3 linked regions of the Oreochromis niloticus genome follow. The protein of the gene in region 1 binds, or shares a complex with, the protein of each later gene. Links are inferred from orthologs where the notes say so. Each region holds a gene or a part of one and is shown on either strand. Other genes may lie near its edges.

Region 1 (7,874 bases):
TGTCCAAGTGTTAAAACAATGCAGTTTCTCTCTGCACTGTCACTGAAATTCAAACTCGACTGAGATTTTCAGTAGACATGTCACCTCGTTCTCCAGTTCTCACATTCACAAACGTGGGTATTGACAGCAATAGTCCGTCAGTCTTTTACAGCTGAGGGGTAAAAACTACATTTGAACACAAGTCTCATGTTTAAATTCCCACTTTTATAGCACTGAGAATAGTTTCATCATTAAATATCAAGGGTAACAAAATGTATATGTAAAGTACTTTTTTAAAAATTATGCATTCAGCTTTGTATTTACTTCCTCACTTAGCTAGTTGTCAATTTATTTATGTATTTACTGATTTTTATTGTATTTTGTTTGTTTTATATTATATGTATTTGTTACTTTATATTCTAAGAGTCAAACACTCTCAGTTTGACTGAGTCTAGAATCAGAGTACCGCACATCTCTACTTTTAATTACAGAAACAGTCACTAACTTGCCATTGCATACTTTATTTACTTTATTGGGGTGGCCACTATTGACCATTTGCAGGAAAAGAGATGGGTATATGATTCTCTGCATTAGGAGCTGCACAATGTTGTCACATAACAAAACTGAAACATATTTTCTACCTGGGATTTGGTGTCGTGGGTCGAGCTGCTTAAAGTCATGTTTTTCCACCATGTAACCACGCCAGTAATTTCCATCCACTGTTTGCTCTTCCTATCACATGGCAGCGGTATGCAGTTGCGTCATCTGTTTACTTTTGGGTAGCACATCACCAGCTGCTAGTCTCTCCTCCTTCTTGACCTGGTTATACTCCACAGAGTTTCTTTGTTTGTTTTGATCTGTGCTTTTTTGGAGGTTGTTGAAGTATCTCCCTATTTACTGAACCCTACAGGGAGTGCAGAATTATTAGGCAAGTTGTATTTTTGAGGAATAATTTTATTATTGAACAACAACCATGTTCTCAATGAACCCAAAAAACTCATTAATATCAAAGCTGAATGTTTTTGGAAGTAGTTTTTAGTTTTAGCTATTTTAGGGGGATATCTGTGTGTGCAGGTGACTATTACTGTGCATAATTATTAGGCAACTTAACAAAAAACAAATATATACCCATTTCAATTTACCAGTGAAACCAATATAACATCTCCACATTCACAAATATACATTTCTGACATTCAAAAACAAAACAAAAACAAATCAGCGACCAATATAGCCACCTTTCTTTGCAAGGACACTCAAAAGCCTGCCATCCATGGATTCTGTCAGTGTTTTGATCTGTTCACCATCAACATTGCGTGCAGCAGCAACCACAGCCACCCAGACACTGTTCAGAGAGGTGTACTGTTTTCCCTCCTTGTAAATCTCACATTTGATGATGGACCACAGGTTCTCAATGGGGTTCAGATCAGGTGAACAAGGAGGCCATGTCATTAGTTTTTCTTCTTTTATACCCTTTCTTGCCAGCCACGCTGTGGAGTACTTGGACGCGTGTGATGGAGCATTGTCCTGCATGAAAATCATGTTTTTCTTGAAGGATGCAGACTTCTTCCTGTACCACTGCTTGAAGAAGGTGTCTTCCAGAAACTGGCAGTAGGACTGGGAGTTGAGCTTGACTCCATCCTCAACCCGAAAAGGCCCCACAAGCTCATCTTTGATGATACCAGCCCAAACCAGTACTCCACCTCCACCTTGCTGGCGTCTGAGTCGGACTGGAGCTCTCTGCCCTTTACCAATCCAGCCACGGGCCCATCCATCTGGCCCATCAAGACTCACTCTCATTTCATCAGTCCATAAAACCTTAGAAAAATCAGTCTTGAGATATTTCTTGGCCCAGTCTTGACGTTTCAGCTTGTGTGTCTTGTTCAGTGGTGGTCATCTTTCAGCCTTTCTTACCTTGGCCATGTCTCTGAGTATTGCACACCTTGTGCTTTTGGGCACTCCAGTGATGTTGCAGCTCTGAAATATGGCCAAACTGGTGGCAAGTGGCATCTTGGCAGCTGCACGCTTGACTTTTCTCAGTTCATGGGCAGTTATTTTGCGCCTTGGTTTTTCCACACGCTTCTTGCGACCCTGTTGACTATTTTGAATGAAACTCTTGATTGTTCGATGATCACGCTTCAGAAGCTTTGCAATTTAAGACTGCTGCATCCCTCTGCAAGATATCTCACTATTTTTGACTTTTCTGAGCCTGTCAAGTCCTTCGTTTGACCCATTTTGCCAAAGGAAAGGAAGTTGCCTAATAATTATGCACACCTGATATAGGGTGTTGATGTCATTAGACCACACCCCTTCTCATTACAGAGATGCACATCACCTAATATGCTTAATTGGTAGTAGGCTTTTGAGCCTATACAGCTTGGAGTAAGACAACATGCATGAAGAGGATGATGTGGACAAAATACTCATTTGCCTAATAATTCTGCACTCCCTGTAATTGAAAACTGAAATTCAGCGCTTGCTGTCAGATATGTCTTGCTTGTCTTTCAGTTGTGTGTGCTAGGAAACATAAACAGGTGTCACTGAGATGGGAAAGATACTGCAATATGACACTTTTATATCATGGAAAATGTATATTATCGCAGATGATATGATATGGCACAGCCCAAGTGCCAAGGATCCTGAAGCCTCTGGGAAGAACTTTTTTTTTTAATTACTACACACCTTGGACATGAAATAATTTGCATGGAGACCTGAATTTAAATTTGCTTATTTCTTCTGCTGAATTTAAAGTCATCAACATGGCAAAAGAGAATATTAAATATTAAGAAGAAAATTAAAAATAGTAGTTTATGTTTACGTTTAGCCCAACATGTATTCAAAATATGAAAAGAAAGTCAATGAATAAATAAGTTTGGGTGGTACAAAAGGAGAATAAATGAAAATCATCAAAATAAATGAATGTATATATTTTTAAACTGGAAAAATAATGTCACATTGGAAAATTAAAAAAAAAAAAAAATACTCACAAAAACCGATAAAACTCATTTTTTTTCTTGTAATTTTCTTTCATTATAATAAATATTCATATATGTTTTTAAAAATATCTATATTTTTTACCTAATGGCTTTTAAAATAAATATTAAATAACTTTGTAATTTTTAAAATGTGCTTTATGAATCCAGTTTACCGGCTTACTCACTTGTTTTAATATTGGCTGTTAAAAACAGCAAGATTTTTTAAAATAAGTACAGATTTAGTTTGTAACTTTAAGGCTGTGTAGAGCAATATATAAGCAGTTTCTCACTTTGATTTGGAGCACATCCAGCGGTACAGTTTCTCCCTTCAGTATTGACAGTGTTGCTGATGTGATGTCCCTGGAAAATGAATGACATTAAAAACATTCTAGTTAATGGAAGAAATCAGGAATTCTGTACTATATATTTGCTGAGTGACATGATAACAACCCAGTGAAGTTTGTCGTGGGAATATGTAATGATCTTTTTGTGTGTGATGCTGAAACATTACTTACTTGACCTTGTTGTCACTGAGGAGATGAAGACTTGGACTGAGGGAATTATGGGAGCCTAGTGGAATGAATCCAATTGGTGTCTTACTGAAGACGTCCTGTGGTCAGAAAACATCCACCAAAAGAAAGATTTAATTACTTAAAGTATCAGACCGAATACAGTTATTACAGACAGATGATGTCAGATTAACACAGCTACTATATTACATTACACCTACTTGGTCTGGCCTTCTCAGTAAACCTGTGATCACTTCCTGCAACGTGCCATCTCCTCCAGCCACGATCAGCATGTCTGTTTCTTCCATTAACTCGATCAGTTTTTTTGCCTGGCCTTCATAGTCTGTCTGTAGAGGGATATGTAATATCTAGATGTGATGTCATGCTCTGTGACACTCTCAGAGACACTATTACCTGATAAATATCCAATTGAAATAGAAAACATTACCTTGACTACTGTAATCTGCACACCAGCCAGGTGTAAAATAGGAGCAGCATTCTTTTCAAATAGGTTGTTGGCTTTCCTGGAGAAAATTAACACAGGAAGCTGTAAATATTCTGAGAAGAATTAAACAAGACTCTCAGAGAGATGTCTGGAGATTATGCGTCTTACCCGTTGCAAGCTGCAGGGTTCAAAATCACAGTTGCTTTCCTGATTCGCTCCTGTGGTGCTATCTGCTGCTGTCCATATTCCTAACACAAATGATGATGTTAAGGATAACTGTCACAAAGAGGAAACTTGTGTTTTGGGGTAATAATTTTGTGACACCTTACCCTGGCTAGTAGACACGCCTCTCTGCGCAGGACGCTGTCACTGATGAAATATTATACATAACATTTAGGACACGAAAACGGGAATTTGTGCACTCTGTCTCATTCATAGCATGAAATACCCACCAGTGTTTTCCATACAGCCAGTATCCACCGTAGGACAAGACACACACAGCAAATGTGCTTTTCTTCCAATGATTTCGCAAAGTCCGAAACACTTTCACGACTCGAGCCATGACTGTGATTAAACTGTTTTCAAAACCTCAATTTTAGCGCAGTGGTACAGATCATTAAACGTCATAAACGACACATTTTCATCACAGCGGTCACAGACTCACAGATATAAGACTAGCATGGACATTTTGGTGTACCGTCAAAACAGTTGGAAGCAAAACAGGAGCCTCAAACTCATGGTTCCGCTTGTGTTTTGTTTTTTTTCGGAACTATTTCTAGTTGCATATTTTTTTCAAGTATTGCTTTATATAAGTCTCCTAAAAATATTTTATTTTTTAATTATTTTTTTTTAAGTTTACAGATTGTAGATTTAATTAAATGCCTTAAACGCTTTAGCTTACAAGAACTACAATTCCCATAGTTGCTAATGGGGACGGGGCCATCATTCGGAGGACCCCGCCTGAAAAGAGCCCACATAACCATGAAATCTTCTAAGATATTTAATCTACTCAACTAACCAGCGAGGACATTAAATTAGGACTGATAGATTCGTTGTTCACTAAAAGTGACCAAAGCGTTACAGAATTGATTGTTTTAAATTTCACACCGGCACAAACCCAGAAGCTTCTGTCCAACTTAGTGAGCGTATCATGGCGGCGCAGATGGCGGTAAATTCGGGTAAGGGTGTATATTTTATTAAATAATTGGATTTTGTTTAGTTATTGCATCAAATCTCAACCTCTGTTATGCATAGAAGCGCAGATATATGCGCTTCTTGGCCGCAGATTTGTCGATTATGATATGTTTTGACCACATGTTGTTGGGTCTGTCAGGCTAACATAGCTTAGCCTTACCCATAGCAAATAGACGTTAAGTTAGTTGAGGTTAAATAACAAATTAGTTTTACTCATTTACACCGAACTAATTCCCACATTAAACCTGAAATAACAGGGAGGGATGACAAGACTTGTCTGATAGATCAGCCGACCGGCTTGAAATAAAATTGAAACTAACAACTCGGGGGAGGCAAAGAAGTGTCTGTACTATACTTCTGGAATCTTTTATAGTGCTGTGCAAAATGCCGCAGTGGTGTTAACAAGCATGGTTATAACAAATTAACTCGAAATGACTAGAAATTAGTTGTTTGCATACTTGTGTGACGGCCCAAGACATCTGAAAGCTTATTTACAACCTCAGGAGCCAGTCTGTGGGGGCCGCTGAAAGAGCTCTGGGAGACAGTGGACGGAGCTGTGTTAAGGAGACAGCCCGAGAGTGTTCACCTCCTAGACCTACAGCTGAAGAAACACAAACCTCACTTTCTGTCACTTTTTAAGAACCCGGTAAGATGGCATGAATGGGTAATTTAAAACACTGTCATTTCTCACACATGCAGGTCACGGGTGGTTTTTTGTTTTGTTTTTTTTCCCCAATGTGTAGCTTGTAGTTACAGTCTGTCCTCCGAGACTCTGATATTAACAGCGTCTTGTCTTCTCTTCATTTTTAGCCAAAAAGTGCAGAGCAAAGAGAGAAAGTGCGTAAAGCCAGCACAGAAGGCATCGCCATCCAAGGTCAGCAGGGGTCACGGCTCCTTCCAGAACAGCTTCTGACAGAGGCTTTCATCCTCAGTGATCTCTTTGACATTGGAGAGTTGGCAGCTTTGGAGCTTCTCTTGGCAGGTAACATGAAGGAAAAAAATCCCCAACTTTATCCAGCATAATTATTTCCATTTCATCTTATAGGTAAAGTGTCACTGTAGTTAATTGTGTAGCAGGTTGTAGTGTATGGACTGTCCTGATCAAACACTGAGATTGAGCTCTGTTTCTTTTATGTAATCATCTCTCTCCAGGTGAACAGCAGCAGCCCTATTTTCCAGGACTGACACGAGGCCTAGTGGCCGTGTTACTTTACTGGGATGGAAAACTTTGTATGGCCAACTCTCTGCGCACGCTCATTCAGTCACGACAGGGAAAGACCTTCACCCTGGATCTTAGGTAATAACGGTGTCTAAAAGTAGTACAATGAAACATTGATAAATGCTGTTAAAGTCCCGTATGAGGAAGGTGTTTTTGTCCTGCTTGTATTTTTTTGGTAACCATTGCCCTTGATGTGAATGTGTAAAAATTGTGTATGTTTCTGTTCTGTGTCCTGTGTACTTTTTGTTTGTATATGTGTCTTTCTTGCTGCTGTTACATCCAAATTTCCCCTTGTGGGACAATTAAAGGATTATTCTATTCTGTTCTATTCTATTTGAATCTTATGTTTGACAATGTTATTTGTTTTCTCCTTCAGTGGAGAGCTGGTGGCTCTGACAACACGATTTACAGATGAGCTCATGAGCCAAGGTCTGACCAAACGCATCCTAACTTTGGTGTCAGAGATAAGCGTGACGCGTGAGTTTGAACGACTGCAGAAAGAACGCGGATTGGGCAACGAAAAGCACAGGAAGGAGGTGTGAAGTAATCTTTTGTATAAATTTTAACCAAAGATATAAATCTTCAAATTGCTTTGTTTTGTTTTTCCAGTGTTAAAGGAACAATGCAATGCCACTAATTTTCTCAACACAGCTCAAATAGAAACACAGAGTGTAGGAATGCAGAGTGGATTATGGAAAATGGGGATTACATGCAGTTTCTGCATCTGTCACCAGGTTGCAGACCTCATCAAGGAATGCCGACAGGCGCTTGCAGACAGCCTGTTTTCATGGACCTGCCAATCACCCCTGTCAAAAGATGACACTCTGGCACTCATTGGCCACCTGGAGACAGTTACAGCTCAGGCTGATGGCTCACTGGACAGTGTTAGCCTGGCTCTGGTTATGGCACTGCTCTACTGCTTGGATGTCAGTTTTATAGAGCAGGGGACTGAAGATAGAGATGGTAAGTTCGTGTTGATGGTTTTGGTTTTCTTTCTTTTTTTCCTGTTGAAATCACTGATTCCAAAAATCAACTGCCTGCATGTGTTTTCCTCCAGATTTGCTCCAGGCACTTCCATTGCTGACAGAAAGGCAGTATGTGTCTGCAGTGCACAGTCGCCTGATGGACAGCCAACCATGGAAGCTTCCGGGGCTGCAGGCCGTGTGTCGACTGGCGTGGGCTCTGTCGCTGAGAGTCCTTTCCCAGCTGCCACAGGGCTCTGGTAAGTACTGCATTCCTTGAGTCTCCATTAAAAATCACCTTCTGATTCTTACGTTTTCTGAGATAACAGCCATTTCATGTTATTGTATGTGCATTTTTGTGCAGCACTGGTTGAGTTCACTGAGGCAGATGAGGCTCTGGCTGATCAGGCTCTCCTGGGCGATGTCTTCTTGTTTATGAAAGAGGGCATGCTGGGATGTGAGAGTTTTTCCCAGGAAGAGTTTTACATCCGCCGCGTCCATTCACTCATCACAGACTTTCTGGCTCTTATGCCAATGAAGGTAAGAGATGCTGCAGGTGCGTGCTTTTAACTTAAGACTGACATGTAAAACTAT
Region 2 (6,988 bases), about 60 Mb from region 1:
AGGATTAGTTTAACACAAAGTCAGGGTTGACCCGGGACCATTGCTGTGAGTCACAGTGTGCAGCATAAAAGTCCTTTCACATCAGACGCAGGATGTGCTGCTAATGCGCAGCATAAAAGTCCTTTCACATCAGACGCAGGATGTGCTGCTAATGCTAACTAAAAGCAAAGGATCCAGAATTTGTTGCGCTGGCTGCTGAGCTCTGTGGTTTTTTGCAGCAGCTCTACCTGTACTAAATGCACCTGCTCCTTGTCGTTTCTATCTCTGACTTTATGTCCTCTACAAGAGTTTGGTTTTTTTGCTAGTTCTTTAGATGTTCAATAAAAACATGTATGCTAATTCATAACGAAGAAAGCTTTGTAGTGAAGACTGTCATTTCCAAAACACTGCCCCCTCCCCGCGGTCTGCAGCGCTGTTGAAAAGGCTGTGGAAGTCCCTGTATTAAGCACGTAAACCTGTGACACAAAAATCACCAAACTCGGACGACCACAGACTGTTTTCCTTCATGGTGATGAAGGAAAATGCTGGGTTGGCATCATTGACTGTAGAAAACATGGACGACGCGACTCCGCCTCCTCCCATTGTGCAAAAATGAAGCCAAAATACCCCGCTTGTGGAGGCTGCCATCTTGCAAATTTGGAGCCAGAGTCTGCGCAGTAGTGACTTGAGGTGGAGCGACTGTGTAACGCTCCCGCCCACACACCCGCTGGACTTGACCGTAAACACGCCCCCCTACACTTTTTACGTAGCCCGGCTGCTCGAGTTTTTTTGCTGGTTTACCGCGACTGATGACTCGTTTAATTAAGGTAAATACAACCATGTCACTGTTATAAAAAGACACACAGCTTATCATCTTATAGTTCTAAAATCACTTTGTTGTTAATTCGTTTGCTAGATTAGCCGCTAGCATACGCGCTGTGTTGGAGGCTTGTTGCTAGCTAGATGCTACACACCTGCTACTCTAATAGTCTGTGTTATTGAAGGATTCAGCACTTCTTATGTTTGTTTTTATCCATTTTTAGACAGCGATGAGATAATCTGCACACTCTACAGAGGCCCAGAGTTACTGTTAATATCAAAAATATAATGCTGTCCTTTGAGATTTTAACATAAGACTGTGAGTGTAATGGATCTAAAACGGTTTAAATCTTCAGAGCCCTCTACAGCCTGGTAACATGGAAACTTTAAAAACATCAGCAGAACGTTTCAGTAGTGTAGTCTAATTTGTTCTTTTCATTTAATAACAGAGTCCATATTATATCAACAGCTACATTCACCCTGGGGAGAAACTAGTGAGGGAGACCATCAGGACCAAGCTGGGTTTCCTGGGTCCAGAGGTTTGGAGAAACTTCTTCCTTTTCTTTCATCACAGCTGTCCTGTGCCAGAAGTTCTGTTGACTGACTGAGAGAGGCTTCATTTAAGAAACACCAGGAAGACTGAAGCTCATCGCATTGATCAAGCAGGACTCATGATCTTCACCAGCAGCTCCCTCACAGGGAAATCTTCAGCACTCCTCCATAGGCCCGATCCAGGAGATGGATAAACCCAGCATTTCATGAACACTGTGATGGAGACCTTTGGTTTGTGTAATGTTATAAATACTCGGATACTCCCCAGAGGCTCCAGACTTTTACATAAAGATATTATATTCAGTCCTGTAGAAAGTTATATATTTAAAAATATATGATCCTCTCTGGTTACTCTGGTATGAATAACTCTGAATCACTTTATGGTAAATAACACACTATCTGCAAAAAACTGTGAAAGAATTCCAGATGACAAGTTTGTAGTTCAACATACAAGTGACGACCTTTGACCTTCATCAGGTTTTATTTAATTGTGCCAGAGAAAATCTCATATGCTCTTCATGCAGCTGAGTACATCAAGTGTTTAAAACGGAAGCTGTGCAGGTCTGAGATCAGCAGCTTTGTGAAACACCAAACTGAGGTCCTGTTAATGCTGATATATAGTGACACAGTTACATGAGTGATTAATCCTTTTGGGTTTTTGTTTTTAACTTTATCAATAAAGCTGCAGCTTTCACTGACAGCACATGTGGTACTTTAACCTTTGTACTGTTTTCATCAGTTCATTTTGCAGTTAACATGTGAACATGTTGGATGATCTGTCTGCTGTCACTGGGTGGTGCTGAGGTCTGAATCTGAGGGCAGCCCCTGTAATCACAAAGAGAACAGAACCATCACAAACTCAAATATAAATTTTATCCCTCAAAATTGAAATAAAGCTGATTCTTCTGTCCTCACACACTCAGGATCTGAAGTTCTTCTCTTACATTTTTTTCAGTATTACAGTACTCTACAGTCCTTTAATCCATAGTTCCTGATTAATGAGGAGTTACTGAAGTACAAGCTTTTAAAAAAATGTTACTGTCTTTACAGATGTGGCAAGAGACTGAAAACATGCTGTTGTTTGCATATATTTGATATTCAGCTCTGCACAGGAGCTGAAGCAGCGTGCAGCCTGTTGCTTTTACAGTATAATACTTGTAATAAAAGTGCAGTAACAGTAATTAGTGACTGATTAGCCCGGAACGTTTCTCTTAATTTCTTTAGTAAGTTCATTCACCTGCACAGATTAGCTAAACGAACCCTGACAGCCGAGTGCTCATTTTAGCTAGCTAGGTCTCAGGACCTAGCTAAGGACGGTAGTTACGGATTAGCTTACAAACACGATTAACTTACCGAAAAAGTGCAGCGGGGCCTCGGGTCCTTCTGTCGGGTAGTCCAGTTTACTGAAGAACACCTCAGGCTGTCAAGTTAAAACACTCGGTCGTGTTTTCAGAACGTAAACGCTGGCCCTCCTCTCAGAGCCTACGCTCTATCTGCTATTCCCGCACACAGATACGCAAGTTTCTTCCGTGACTGCAGCTGTCAGTCAAAGCCGCTATGATGACGTTTCACCCCAATTTAACATCGCCGCTGTAGGAATGAGAATCAAACTTATGGGAAAGGAGACCCCTTGGACATCAATCAGCATGATGAGAACTATTGATAACAAAAGACAGAATCTTTGGAAAAAAATTATCTAAGGAGAATAAATTTATTTTAGTCTGACCCCAGTCCCATCCGCTAACATGGAGGAGGCGGGGTTTATGACCTATACTGCAGCCAGACACCAGGGGGCGATAGAGACATTTTGGCTTCATTTTTGGAGAGCTGTCGCGTCGTCCATGTTTTCTACAGTCAATGGTTGGCATATAAAAGGGCATTTATTCCCTTCAAGGACCTGCAGTTCAAAGAAGCGCCCCTCCGACAGCCAAACCCATCTCTTCTCTGATTGGATTGTTACATTTGTGATTGACATGACATTGACCAATCAGATGAAAGGAAGAAAAATAGGGTCAAAATTCGTACTTGTAACTTGCAGGGTTTTTTTGGCTAAGTCCACACACAAATCTTTTTTACGCACACACAAATTCTTTTTACACATACAAATCTTTTTACACATACAAATCTTTTTTACACACACACACACAAATTCTTTTTACACATACAAATCTTTTTTACACACACACAAATTCTTTTTACACATACAAATCCTGATTTACAAGTACAAAATATTTATGACCACATTTTGAGCCCATACCGCCGCCCCGCCCTCTCCTCCCTGTGCAGCAAGCAGCAGGCGCACCTCGCAAACAGAGGGCGCCCTTACTCCCAGCAAATGGGCGATAGAAAACCGATCGGTGCCTATGCCATCCCCAAAATGTGTTGGCCAATCAAAATCCGACACACACACACACACACACACACATATAAAATCTAATGAGAACATCTAATAATGTTAATTTCCTTCTGGGCTCTGATTGGTCAAAGCAGACATACAAAAAAAACGGAGTCGGATTTGTATTGTTTAATGATGACGTCAGTCATCCGATCCGGCAGGTGGCGCGCCTCGCAGTGGTTCTCCTACCTTAAATGAATCTTAGAAGAAGAAGGAGCTGGAGGCGGAAGTGGGTTTGAAAGCGCAGCGCGCGGCCGCAGCGGCACGAGGATAAGATGGCGGCGGCGTTGGAGCGCAGCTACATCGAGATCTGCGGGTTCGAGAGAGAGGCCGCGCGGAGGCCGCGCGAGCTCACTGCGAATCTAGGTAACTCCTGCACTTCACCTGCGTGCCCCTGACGGCGGCTAGCAGGGAGCTAACAGCCTAACGGCCCGTACCTGCTGGCGTTAGCGTGTTAGCTTCCTGCTAGCCGCGCGCGGCCTGGAGGTGTTTCTGTTGTTGTTGTTTTTTCTTCCGAACTCTCACCTGACTAGGTGAGCGCGCACTGCTGAGCAAGCGAGCGAGTAAATCTTCCTCCGTCTCCGTTTAGTATCAGCTAGCTCCGTTAGCTGCTCACCTGTTGCGCACCTTGTCACGCGTGAACCCGCGCTGATCACGTGACCTTGACCTGCGGTCGATGGTGTCTGCGCCTCCGGAAGCAGCTGATTATTGATCTGATAAACACTGTGACTTGCTGATCAGAGCCTCAGACACCTGCAGGTCAAGAACCTGTTCAAACCGGACTCACCTGTCTTTCCGGTCTGCAGGTGTGAGCGCAGCACCTGGCAGCCTGAAGTTTCCTGACAGCGCGGGAGCGTTTCATTATGAGGAGAGCGGGAAGCTGCTGTCGGTCATCAGCAACAGGTTCATCCACTGGTGGGTACCAGCTGCTCTCCAGGTGCTCTGCAGGTGCTGTCAGCCGTTCTCTGCTAACACTCTCACTCATGCAGGTCCACGTCTGGGGACTCGGTGGTGCTGGTGGAGCAGTCTCTGGACACCAACTTGCTGAACAACGCCGTCCGGCTCCGCTTCACCCACTGTGCTGTCCTGCCCGGAGGAGTCACCATCCAGGAGACGCTCAGCAACGTCGTCATCCTCATCTCCACCAATCACAGCGTCCACAGGCTGCTGTTGCCCCACCCCACACGCATGTACCGCAGCGTGAGTACCTGACGGTGACCCTCAGCCTGCATGCTGTCCTATGGTCCGTGAAGAAGCCACACCACCAGCTGCAGGACAGCGTGCGGTTGTTGATTACTGATTACCGTTATCAATTGATTAATGAAAGTGTCACTATGGACACGACAGATGACTCAGACTTTAAGGTCTGATACCAAACTACCAACAGCCGTGTGAGATTACCATAGTTACCATGGTTACCATAGAAACAGATTTAGGTGAACGTGAAATGTAATATTACAATCAATGTAGAAATCAGCAAAACATAACAAACAGAAGAAATGTTTTTAAAAATACCAGAGGAAGGCGCACGATGGAGAGCAAAGGGACTGAACAGAGTCTGTGTGTGAGTGATGGAGGACACTCAGACCATGGTGAGGTGGGTGGGGGTAGGCTGTTGTTAAGTGTCCAAATGGACGCTGTTAGAGTCTGGAGGTGTGGGACCTGACTGGCCTGAGGCGCCCACCAGAGGGCAGCTCTGAGCAGGACAAAAAGTCGTACTAATCAAATCAAATGGACACCATACACAGTAGAAAATACGCGTGTGTGCAAATGATACAATCATACAGCTGTTAGCACAATTACTACGGTAACTGTTAACGAGATAACTGACCTCGAACACTCCTCTGTGCGTGTGTAGGAGCTGGTCACAGAGTTGCACATGCAGTCCATCTTCACTGATGTGGGGAAGCTGAGCCTGCAGGACCCCGCCCACAGCGCCCTCATCCCCAGCTCAGTGGGAACCACGGCAAGTCCCGGCGCTTCGTTCGCCTGGCTCAGTTACCACGGAGACGCACACTTCGCTCTGGCTTCTCCTGCAGGAGGCATCACGGTGGTCACCCTGCCATCGCCCGATTCTCAGGGTGAGGGGGAATTTCTATGTTTAATGTGGGCGTGGTACCTCGGCCGGATTTTAAGACGTGTGCTCGCCGTTTCCAGGCAACATGTCGGTGCTGGAGTTGAAGAGGAGCTCTGTGATGCAGCGGCTGTCCGGGTGGATGCCCACGGCAATCCGCGGCGAGCACAGCCCGGCCGACCTCGTGCTCAGCCTGGCCGTGCGGGAGCTGGAGGAAGACTCCTTCATCTTTGCGCTGTGTCAGGACCACCGGCTGCGCATGTGGTCGCTCAGGGTGATGACATCACACACACGCACACAAACACATTGTTGATGTGTAACGTTTGAGTCGCCATGTGCTGACGTGACTTCCGCCCCCTCAGGAGCATGGCTGTCTGCTGGAGGCGGACATGTTGGAGTACATGCCGGCGTGTAAGGGCGTGAAGCGCCTGCCGGGCCATGGTCACCGCCTGCGCCTGGCGTTCTCCTCCACCACAGGCTTGTGCGTGTGCGTCTACCTCGCCGTCCCTCAGCGGGGGCAGTTCACCGTGTTGCAGCTGGTCGCCACAGACAACAACCGCTACAGCCTTGAGCACATCTCCACACTGTTCAGTACACAGGTGAACGCACGGGCGGATCCAGGGGGCGAGCCTCGTTTTTGTGTTTGTGGTTACTTTCTGCATTCTGAACCGCTCTCTGTGAACAGGAGACGCTTGTGGACTTCACGCTGACCTCCTCGGACATCTGGGCTCTGTGGGTGGACGAATCCAACGCCACCGTGGTCAAATACATCAGCTTCGAGCAGTGAGTCGAAATGCCAGTGTCTTCCTCCTGTCCTCTGCTGATATTTCCATGTTCTCTACCTGTTTCCATCATCTGTCTCCGCACATGTTCCTCACCTGTCGGCATGTTTCACAGCAACACGGCGGCTCAGTGGAACCAGGTGTTTGTTCAGCCTCCACCCGAAGAAGAAATCCACATCGGAGTGGACCTGGACCCCCGGGTGAGACCAGTTCAGACCAGTAACCAGTGTTTTAATGAACAGGTAGTGCTGACCATGTGACCTCTGACCCCCTGACAGGAGACATATCTCGAGGTTCTCTTCTCTCCCCTTCGTTTCACAGCCTCGGCCATTGTGAAAGCCCTGCAGGTGAGAATCTAGCTGTGTGTCTGATTGACTCTGTGATTGG
Region 3 (7,604 bases), about 53 Mb from region 1:
TTAGTTACTGCTTTGCTTCTGAGTGCTGTGTTTGCATCCTACCTCTGCTTGCCACTGCCTGCTATGATGACAGTGACTGACGAGGTGCTACTTTGTTAGCATGTTTTCACATTACAAACTCAAGACCTTAGCTTACAACATCACAGGAAGGAGCCCAAGAATTTTCCATAAATAAAACTGTTAGATCCAACCCTTGTCTGTAAGGTCAAGTTAAAAAAACAAACAAAAGAGGCAGCTAATCTAAAAATGCCACGCTTCAGTTTTCAGAAGTACATAAACCAGTGAACGATGCCAATGACCCATCCTTTGGCCAATTTCTCTCATATGCTGTAGGTATTTGTTTTTCCAGACATTACCAAGAGGAGAAGATTTATGGAGGACATGCAGAGGAGGATATTGGAATAGTCATGGCAAGGCAAAATTTTCCAGAATTCTCGGGTAAACAGCCCGGGATTTTTTTCCCTCCAAATACTATTAAAAGCAGTAAAATAAGAACAACTACATGTCCTTTGTGTTTGTAGCTGATCATGTGTTCATGCGTTTTGACTTTTAAGACTGTAATTCATTTGGTCTGCTTAGTCCATCTGTTATGTTTGTGAAACAATATTTTGCAGCAACAGCCCAATTGAAAGCCTAACAGTGAACTCTGGGTTTTCCACTGTAATGCTGAAACTATTTCTAGATTTGAATATCATTTTTGAAAGCTGCAGTGTCTACAAATTAAAGACCAAGCCACAAATTTCTATGACGATGAACATAAATCTCATAAAACAATAAACCTTCAGAGTTCTCTTAAAATGACAATACATAACGACAATCTATTTTCAATTATCTGAATCAAACACATCTTTAAACTCAACAAATAATTACTGGTCATTTAATCTCACCATGTTCAAACCGATGGAACATCTGTGCAGGAACAGTCGCACCCATCTCTTCTTCAGTATGATGCTTTACTGCACTCGAGGGAGCCCATTCACCGCAGCAGGGTGTAGTTTGGTTATGAGCCGTTTGTCATTTCTGTCATTTTGCTCGTGCAAAAGGGAATGAAGCCTCTCTAGGTAGATTTACAAGAACCGTTTACGCCTGGTTGGACATCAGGACATTATCAAGTTAAGAAGAGACTTTGAGGAACAGAGATCCACTTTCTTTCCTGGGTGAGTGAGTGCTTTCCTTCCAGCTTCTATCTCAGCATACACATGTGAAACAGGAGACTCACTTGGAGATAACCAGAGACCCAGTGGCACCTACTTCACACAGTGCTGTCACTGCCGGTGAGAACTATCTGTAGGAAGTTCATGACAGTGGTAAAGAAAGTCTTTGAAGAGACAACATTCATATGGACTGGAAAGATAAGCAAATCTAGAAACATTTTATCTGAAATGTCTGCATTCAGAAGAATTGTCAATGAATGAACCCCAAGCACTCTATACAATAAACGACATTCACCTACTCATACAGCTTTTATTATATGTGCTTAAGTATTTAAACACCTTGCTTCATCTATTGCAAATTTAGAACCAGCAGATAATGGAGGATGCATGTTTTTGGAACTATCTGGCTGTGACTAAAATATCTGAAACACTTGTGATGAGATAAATGACAGAGATCATCTCACAAAAGCTCCCTATCAAGAGTTTTTCCTAATGTTTGATCATTTTACTGATTATACATACTTTCCAGACTTATCAGTCAGGAGAGTGTGTGTCTTGTTTGTTTTGCTTTTTAAGTTTAGAAACTTGAAACTAGTTTGTTAGAGTTAGTCAATAAACACTATGTTTTTAGGTTAATGTTCTGAGAACTACTTGGTTAGGTTTAGGGAAAGATAGTGTTTTGGTTTCATGGACGTTCCCTGCATGCCAAAAGATCATACGCTCCTCACAGCAATCCCATAACTCAGCGTGTCAGAGATCACTGCCAAAAGACACCTTGCACAGAAATGAGCAGTGTCTTTGGCAGAAAAGCATGAATTAACATCCTGGAAAACATGATAGGCGGATACTTATTACCTTTCGCGCAGATAGTATCTCTTAGAGGGACTGTGTCGATTACATTTTTCAAGTTGGGTTGTATGGGGTAATTTTGTATGGAGTAAACTCTGTGTTTAGTTCATTGGCCTCCCCATTCATTAGGTCTCAGTCTCACAGAACACCTTTGGGAAGCGCTTAAAGATCTGCTTAACTGATGTGATGCAATGACATGCTAGCATATGTTAGCAGATTATCAAAGAAGGTTCACCTTTAATACAGAACTGAGTCTTTCTGAAAGTAAGGAGCCATTCCTAATATAGTGGACACTGTGTGTAATATATTTGAGCAGTGCAAAATAACTGATGGGAAGCATAGCAAGCATTGGTATGTTTTGTTTCATAGGTGTTTCTCTATTGCTGAAGACAGAGGTGGCTCACATAAGCAGCACAAGAAGCCTCTGTCTGCTGTTCCACAGCTGACTGTTTAAGTTGAACTCAGTTCTACAAGAAACAGACTCAGTGGATGTCCCCAGGTGTGTGTCTCAATTCAGCTCTAACACTCTTAATGAGATGAATTTGTTGCCGTTATACACAGTGTTCCCATGTTTGGCTGACAAAAATAAATAAATAAATAAAGCCTAGTTCAATCTCAGTGAAGTTATTAAAAAGGTAGACCAGTTTTCTAATTTGGTTTGGTTTAATGTATGTGAAATATTAACTGCTTGCCTCAAAACAAATATGCAAATACTTTTTGCTAATGCAAGCTTTTATGGCATTTTATAGAAATTTTGGTAAGGAAAGCAAATCTTGAACCCACAGTGAAAATGCAGGCTACAACATGATGGAGGAAATAAGCATGAGATATCTTCAAGGTGTAAGTAATGTTCATTTGGAGGTTAATCACAGCATAATCCCTCTGCTGCCCTAACAAAAGGCTCAGTGAAGAGAGAGGCTTTCTCATCATTATTGCAATACTCAGTTTTAGACAGCAGATGTCTTTATCTAATTTAGAGAAAAGACTGCAGTTTTTATCATAAGTGGTATACACTGTACACTGCTAAATAGAGATATAATAGAGCAATGCAGCTAATGTCTTGTAAGAGAAACTGTAGGTTTTGGCACTTAAAGCGCTGCCTTCATTTTTCATCCCTTGAGGTAATTAATACCTCAGTTATACAGTAATGATGGAGTACTAGGGGGTGGCTGTGGCTCAGGCAGAAGAGGAGATTGAGTGCCAAGTTGGAGGTTTGAGTCCCACCTCTATATAGTTATGAAGTACTTAGAGCAGCATAAAGTATTGCATGCATGTGTGTGCCAGTGGGTATATGTGGCTTTTATAAAAGAAAGCTGTAAGTGTTAGAATTGAAAGTGTAGGTGATAGAAAACAGAGAAGCTCATTTGGTTAGCAGGAGAAAGATGCCCATTCAGGAAGTGCTGGGGATGCACCTGCTACTGATATCAAACTCATGTCTGCACCTCATCAACAGGTTCACACTATGATATCTGCAGACAAATAAAGATTCAGATTGAAGATCGTTAAAGTGTATGTATAAAATACATACACTTGAAGTGATCTTCTCAAACAATAATCCATACTTTGCATTTCAGAGAGAAACAGATTTTTCATTGCACAGCATTTATCTTATATGAAGGTAATTGTGTACAAAACACCTTAAAATATGTTAATTTAAAAAATTAATTGTTACAGATTTAAAAGACTCCTGCAGGGTTTCTGTTTGAAGTTGAGAGTTCTTGTTAAAAAGTCAATAAAATCTGAAAAGATTACAAAGAGACACAAATGACTAAAACAGACACAACAAACAAATGAAAAAACAACTACTGATTGCTGAAGAAATAAATAAAATGAAAATGTATTTTTTTATTCAGGTGGAGGAGGTCTAGAGTAGGAAGACCAGAGACATAAAATACACATATGTGAACACGTGAAAAAATTTTCATGGTTCTAGATTTTCAAATATGAACATTTTTCATGGTATTCCATTTTCTTTTTGCATTGACTGCAAAGGTCCAGCATCATTTTCTAAATGCTTAGAAAAAAAATCAATAAACTTACCAAGAAAATATCAGCACAACAATATTAAAAATACTTTATCCTACATAGGATATTCTTTTTGTTCAGCAGTTGAAATACTACTACTACTACTACTGCTGCTAAAATAACAATAATAATAATAATAATAATAATAATAATAATAATAATAATGTCAAGTAAATTTTAAACATTAATTTAAATAGTAATTAGTCGCAGCCTCGTATAAAATAGGTTTTAAACATAGCTGGCACACAATAAAATGCGCTAAAAAATACTCACAGGATCTTGTTCTATGGTGAATACTGTTCAGAATTATACTTAAATATTTACTACATTTTAGGGACCTTTACGTGTTATAATCCTCGTAGTTTAAATGATTTGTATTGATTTGCAATACACGTGTGCACATCTACTGTATTGTTATCCAGTACAGCACACGTGTAGCTGGTGGCGATACTGCTCCGATCCGCTGCGATTGCACTAGAGGAAATATTAAAAAAAAAAAAAAAAAAAAAAAAGCAGCAGAAGAAGAAGAACACTAGCCAATCAGAAAGCAATTTGCTGCTGCCTGATGACCAGATACCAATAGGAAATGTGAATGTGAGCGCGGATAAACGGAATTGTTGTGTGTCGGCCTCGGTGAGATTGTATTTGGTGACAGTAATAAGAGTAATTGTTTCAGGGCCGTTAAATCCCCTCACAATGAGCCTGTCTCTGAGGTAAGCCGGTTTGTCGCAGTTATTCCAACATCCCTCATACCAGCGCACAGAGCTAGTCGCTAGCTCTTTCACATAAGAGGCGCTAGCATGTTAACTTTGCTGTGTTTGTTCGGGAGGGATATTGCATAGGAATTAGCTGGAGCTACTAATCAGTGTAGAGTCGACGTTAGCTGCTTACTGTTTTTTTTTTTTGTTTGTTTTTCTGAATGTGACTTGGACGACTACAATGCACTGTACTATAGGCCACATTTAGTTGCAAAACTACTGTTCAGATGCCACCCCTGTGCATCGTTTGTCTTTCATCCAATCCACTACAGACGTACACGTTCAGTAAGCATCGACCGCATAGCCACAGCAGAAAGTCATCAGTACCAGTACAAAGGAGCGTTTTTTCTCTTTTTTTTCTTAAACAAATGAGCATTCTTGACCAACATTGTTGCTGATTACATTTTATTCAGTGCACATACACTTTTGTGTATGTGTAGTGGAATTGTAAGGGGGAAACCTTATATTAAATATTATACATGGAGAATCTTGTGTTGAATTGGCACAGAAAGGGGGAAAAGGACCAAAAACAGAGAAAATCTAACCGAGGAAAGTAGCTGTATCAGCTGTCAGCCAAACACTTCACAGTGTTATGTGTATCTGACAATTAATGTTATAATGATACTACAGTCAATTTGTTTTGTTATGTTATTTTGTAATGTTATTGATATTTAGATAAACAGGTGTCAGAGTATTACTCTATCATGTGGTTAAGTTGCTGATAAATTAGATTTTACTGAATAAGTATTTGGTCGTAGATACTTCGTTACATTGCTAACGATATATGTACTGCACTCTGCTTGTGTTGCAAACACAGAGTGTAGATACTTGTAAACTTCAGTCTGTAAATAGTTACAGATTTTAAGTTCGTTTTCTCAGTTGTTAGGGTAAAACTGATCACAAGGCTGTGTACGTTGTCTAAACACTGAGTGCACTGCCTGCGTCTTTGTCTATTGTGTGTTTTGTCAGCCCTTTGCTACCTTCTTCTGTAAAGCTGTGGTGTTCTGCCATATGCTGTACAACATACTCTGTATTGAAGCTTTAATTTGGGGTAACAGCGGATAAATATGTCACTTAAGTTAAAGAAAAAAGTTTGCAATATGATTGCAGCTGAAACCTGTGTACATTTGTGTAACATATGCTGCATCTGTCTTTCTCCAGAACGGAGCTCATGGCAGACAAAACAAAGCGTAAGAAGAGGAGAGAACTCACTGAGGATCAGAAACATGAAATCAAAGAAGCATTTGAGTTGTTTGACACAGACAAGGACAAAGAAATTGACTACCACGAGCTGAAGGTGAGCACTGGATGATGAGAGGAAAACAAGTTTGACAGCCAAAAATAGTCCAGTGAAGCGGTATTTAATCTGCTGTGTATAGTATGTTAATATGTGCCATATGTCTGTCATAATGAACTCAAAAAGCAGTTTTTCCTCACATGTTTACATCTGCTGTGCTGCTGTAGGAATACAGAAACATCTCACTGTCACAAACTGTCAACAGGTGGCAATGCGTGCACTCGGCTTTGAAGTGAAGAAAGTGGATGTTCTCAAGATCCTTAAGGATTATGACAGAGAGGGAAATGGGAAAATAACATTTGAGGACTTCAGTGAAGTTGGTAAGTTTGCCTTCCCTGCATGTGCCCCTGTGCAGACAGGGACCAAGAGGAAGAAAATCTCTGACATCTTTAACTGAAGTGTTTCAGTAACTCTGATGCATGTTATGTATGGTTCTGCAGTGACTGATCGCATCCTAGAGCGAGACCCGAAAGAGGAGATCATGAAAGCCTTTAAGCTGTTTGATGATGACGAATCAGGAAAGATCAGTTTGAGGAACCTGAGACGTGTGGCTCGGGAACTTGGGGAGAATATCAGCGATGAAGAGCTCCGCAGCATGATCGAGGAGTTCGATACTGACGGAGATGGTGAAAGTAAGTCAGCACTTGCTCTTTTCTTCGACATTGACAATTATTGCTATACATTTAATCCCTAGAAGGGAAACGCGTTCAGTTTGTTTAAGTGAGCAGGAGTGGATGAACAGGACTTTTGTTTGTTTTGGTGTACGTACAAAAGAGGCCTATGAACTAGGGCTGCCACAAACGATTATTTTGATAGTCGATTAGTCACCGATTATTTTTGCGATTAGTCGACTAATCAGATCATGCATCCGTTGGACGTACAACGCACTAGCATGCATCTGCTCTTATATAACTATTATTAGCTTACAGCTTTAAGTGTTTAAGGTATGTACTAACTAAAAATAAAGATAAGATGATAGTTTATTAAATTTTAGTGAAATTTGCAGATTGTTTCAGTGAAGTTTAATAAACTCAGCCGTCTGCTCCTTGCTATCTAAAATATAACAGGACACCGGAGTATATTCTCGACCATCTCACACTTCTGATAATCAGTTGTCTGCTTGACGTTTATTCAGCTGTGTAAAAACTATAACTTTAATCTCAGCCAAACTGATTTACTCAGGAACAAATAAAATACTAAAAGAAGCCAAACAATAACATTTTTAAGTTTTCTAAGTGACTTATATATCGTTTTTAACCTGAGTAGCGAAAGACGGTGGTGATGTTTGAAAACGATTTGCCGGGAATCTGGTGCTCTCACTGGCTTCAATGAGCCTTGAATCCCGGCTAGCTATCGAGCTGGTGGGTAACAGACGTCTCCGAAAACGTCGGAGCGCTTTTGAAAATATGTGGTGTCTTGATAAACTGAGCAGATATTTGAGGTTTACACAGCTACATTCTCGCCTGAAAATATGTTAAATGTTTATTTTGTGACCCAGAAAGAATAATAAGAGTAATATTA

Evidence for each region. Proteins that work in one complex are often made in the same cells at the same time.
Region 2: nup205 (region 1) and nup160 share a complex: the UniProt entries of both Homo sapiens proteins name them as parts of the nuclear pore complex. The link is inferred for Oreochromis niloticus from reciprocal best matches to the Homo sapiens genes NUP205 and NUP160.
Region 3: nup205 (region 1) and cetn3 share a complex: the UniProt entries of both Homo sapiens proteins name them as parts of the nuclear pore complex. The link is inferred for Oreochromis niloticus from reciprocal best matches to the Homo sapiens genes NUP205 and CETN3.

What each region holds. Positions count from the first base shown.
Region 1 is NC_031972.2:61,902,156-61,910,029, reverse strand, and holds the start of nup205 (nuclear pore complex protein Nup205), read left to right. Parts: upstream 1-4,859; 5' UTR 4,860-5,055; coding exon 5,056-5,083; intron 5,084-5,602; coding exon 5,603-5,745; intron 5,746-5,909; coding exon 5,910-6,081; intron 6,082-6,251; coding exon 6,252-6,396; intron 6,397-6,694; coding exon 6,695-6,854; intron 6,855-7,052; coding exon 7,053-7,281; intron 7,282-7,375; coding exon 7,376-7,540; intron 7,541-7,644; coding exon 7,645-7,820; intron 7,821-7,874. Other genes in the region: agk (acylglycerol kinase, mitochondrial), read right to left, coding at 3,242-3,311, 3,467-3,561, 3,682-3,807, 3,909-3,984, 4,074-4,153, 4,235-4,274, 4,358-4,467. UniProt on the Homo sapiens protein: Plays a role in the nuclear pore complex (NPC) assembly and/or maintenance. May anchor NUP62 and other nucleoporins, but not NUP153 and TPR, to the NPC.
Region 2 is NC_031972.2:2,109,235-2,116,222, reverse strand, and holds the start of nup160 (nuclear pore complex protein Nup160), read left to right. Parts: upstream 1-3,950; 5' UTR 3,951-4,020; coding exon 4,021-4,111; intron 4,112-4,551; coding exon 4,552-4,660; intron 4,661-4,734; coding exon 4,735-4,945; intron 4,946-5,603; coding exon 5,604-5,826; intron 5,827-5,902; coding exon 5,903-6,093; intron 6,094-6,181; coding exon 6,182-6,418; intron 6,419-6,504; coding exon 6,505-6,602; intron 6,603-6,716; coding exon 6,717-6,801; intron 6,802-6,879; coding exon 6,880-6,948; intron 6,949-6,988. UniProt on the Homo sapiens protein: Functions as a component of the nuclear pore complex (NPC). Involved in poly(A)+ RNA transport.
Region 3 is NC_031972.2:8,996,937-9,004,540, forward strand, and holds the start of cetn3 (centrin-3), read left to right. Parts: upstream 1-4,566; 5' UTR 4,567-4,724; coding exon 4,725-4,741; intron 4,742-5,947; coding exon 5,948-6,083; intron 6,084-6,288; coding exon 6,289-6,403; intron 6,404-6,523; coding exon 6,524-6,715; intron 6,716-7,604. UniProt on the Homo sapiens protein: Plays a fundamental role in microtubule-organizing center structure and function. As a component of the TREX-2 complex, involved in the export of mRNAs to the cytoplasm through the nuclear pores.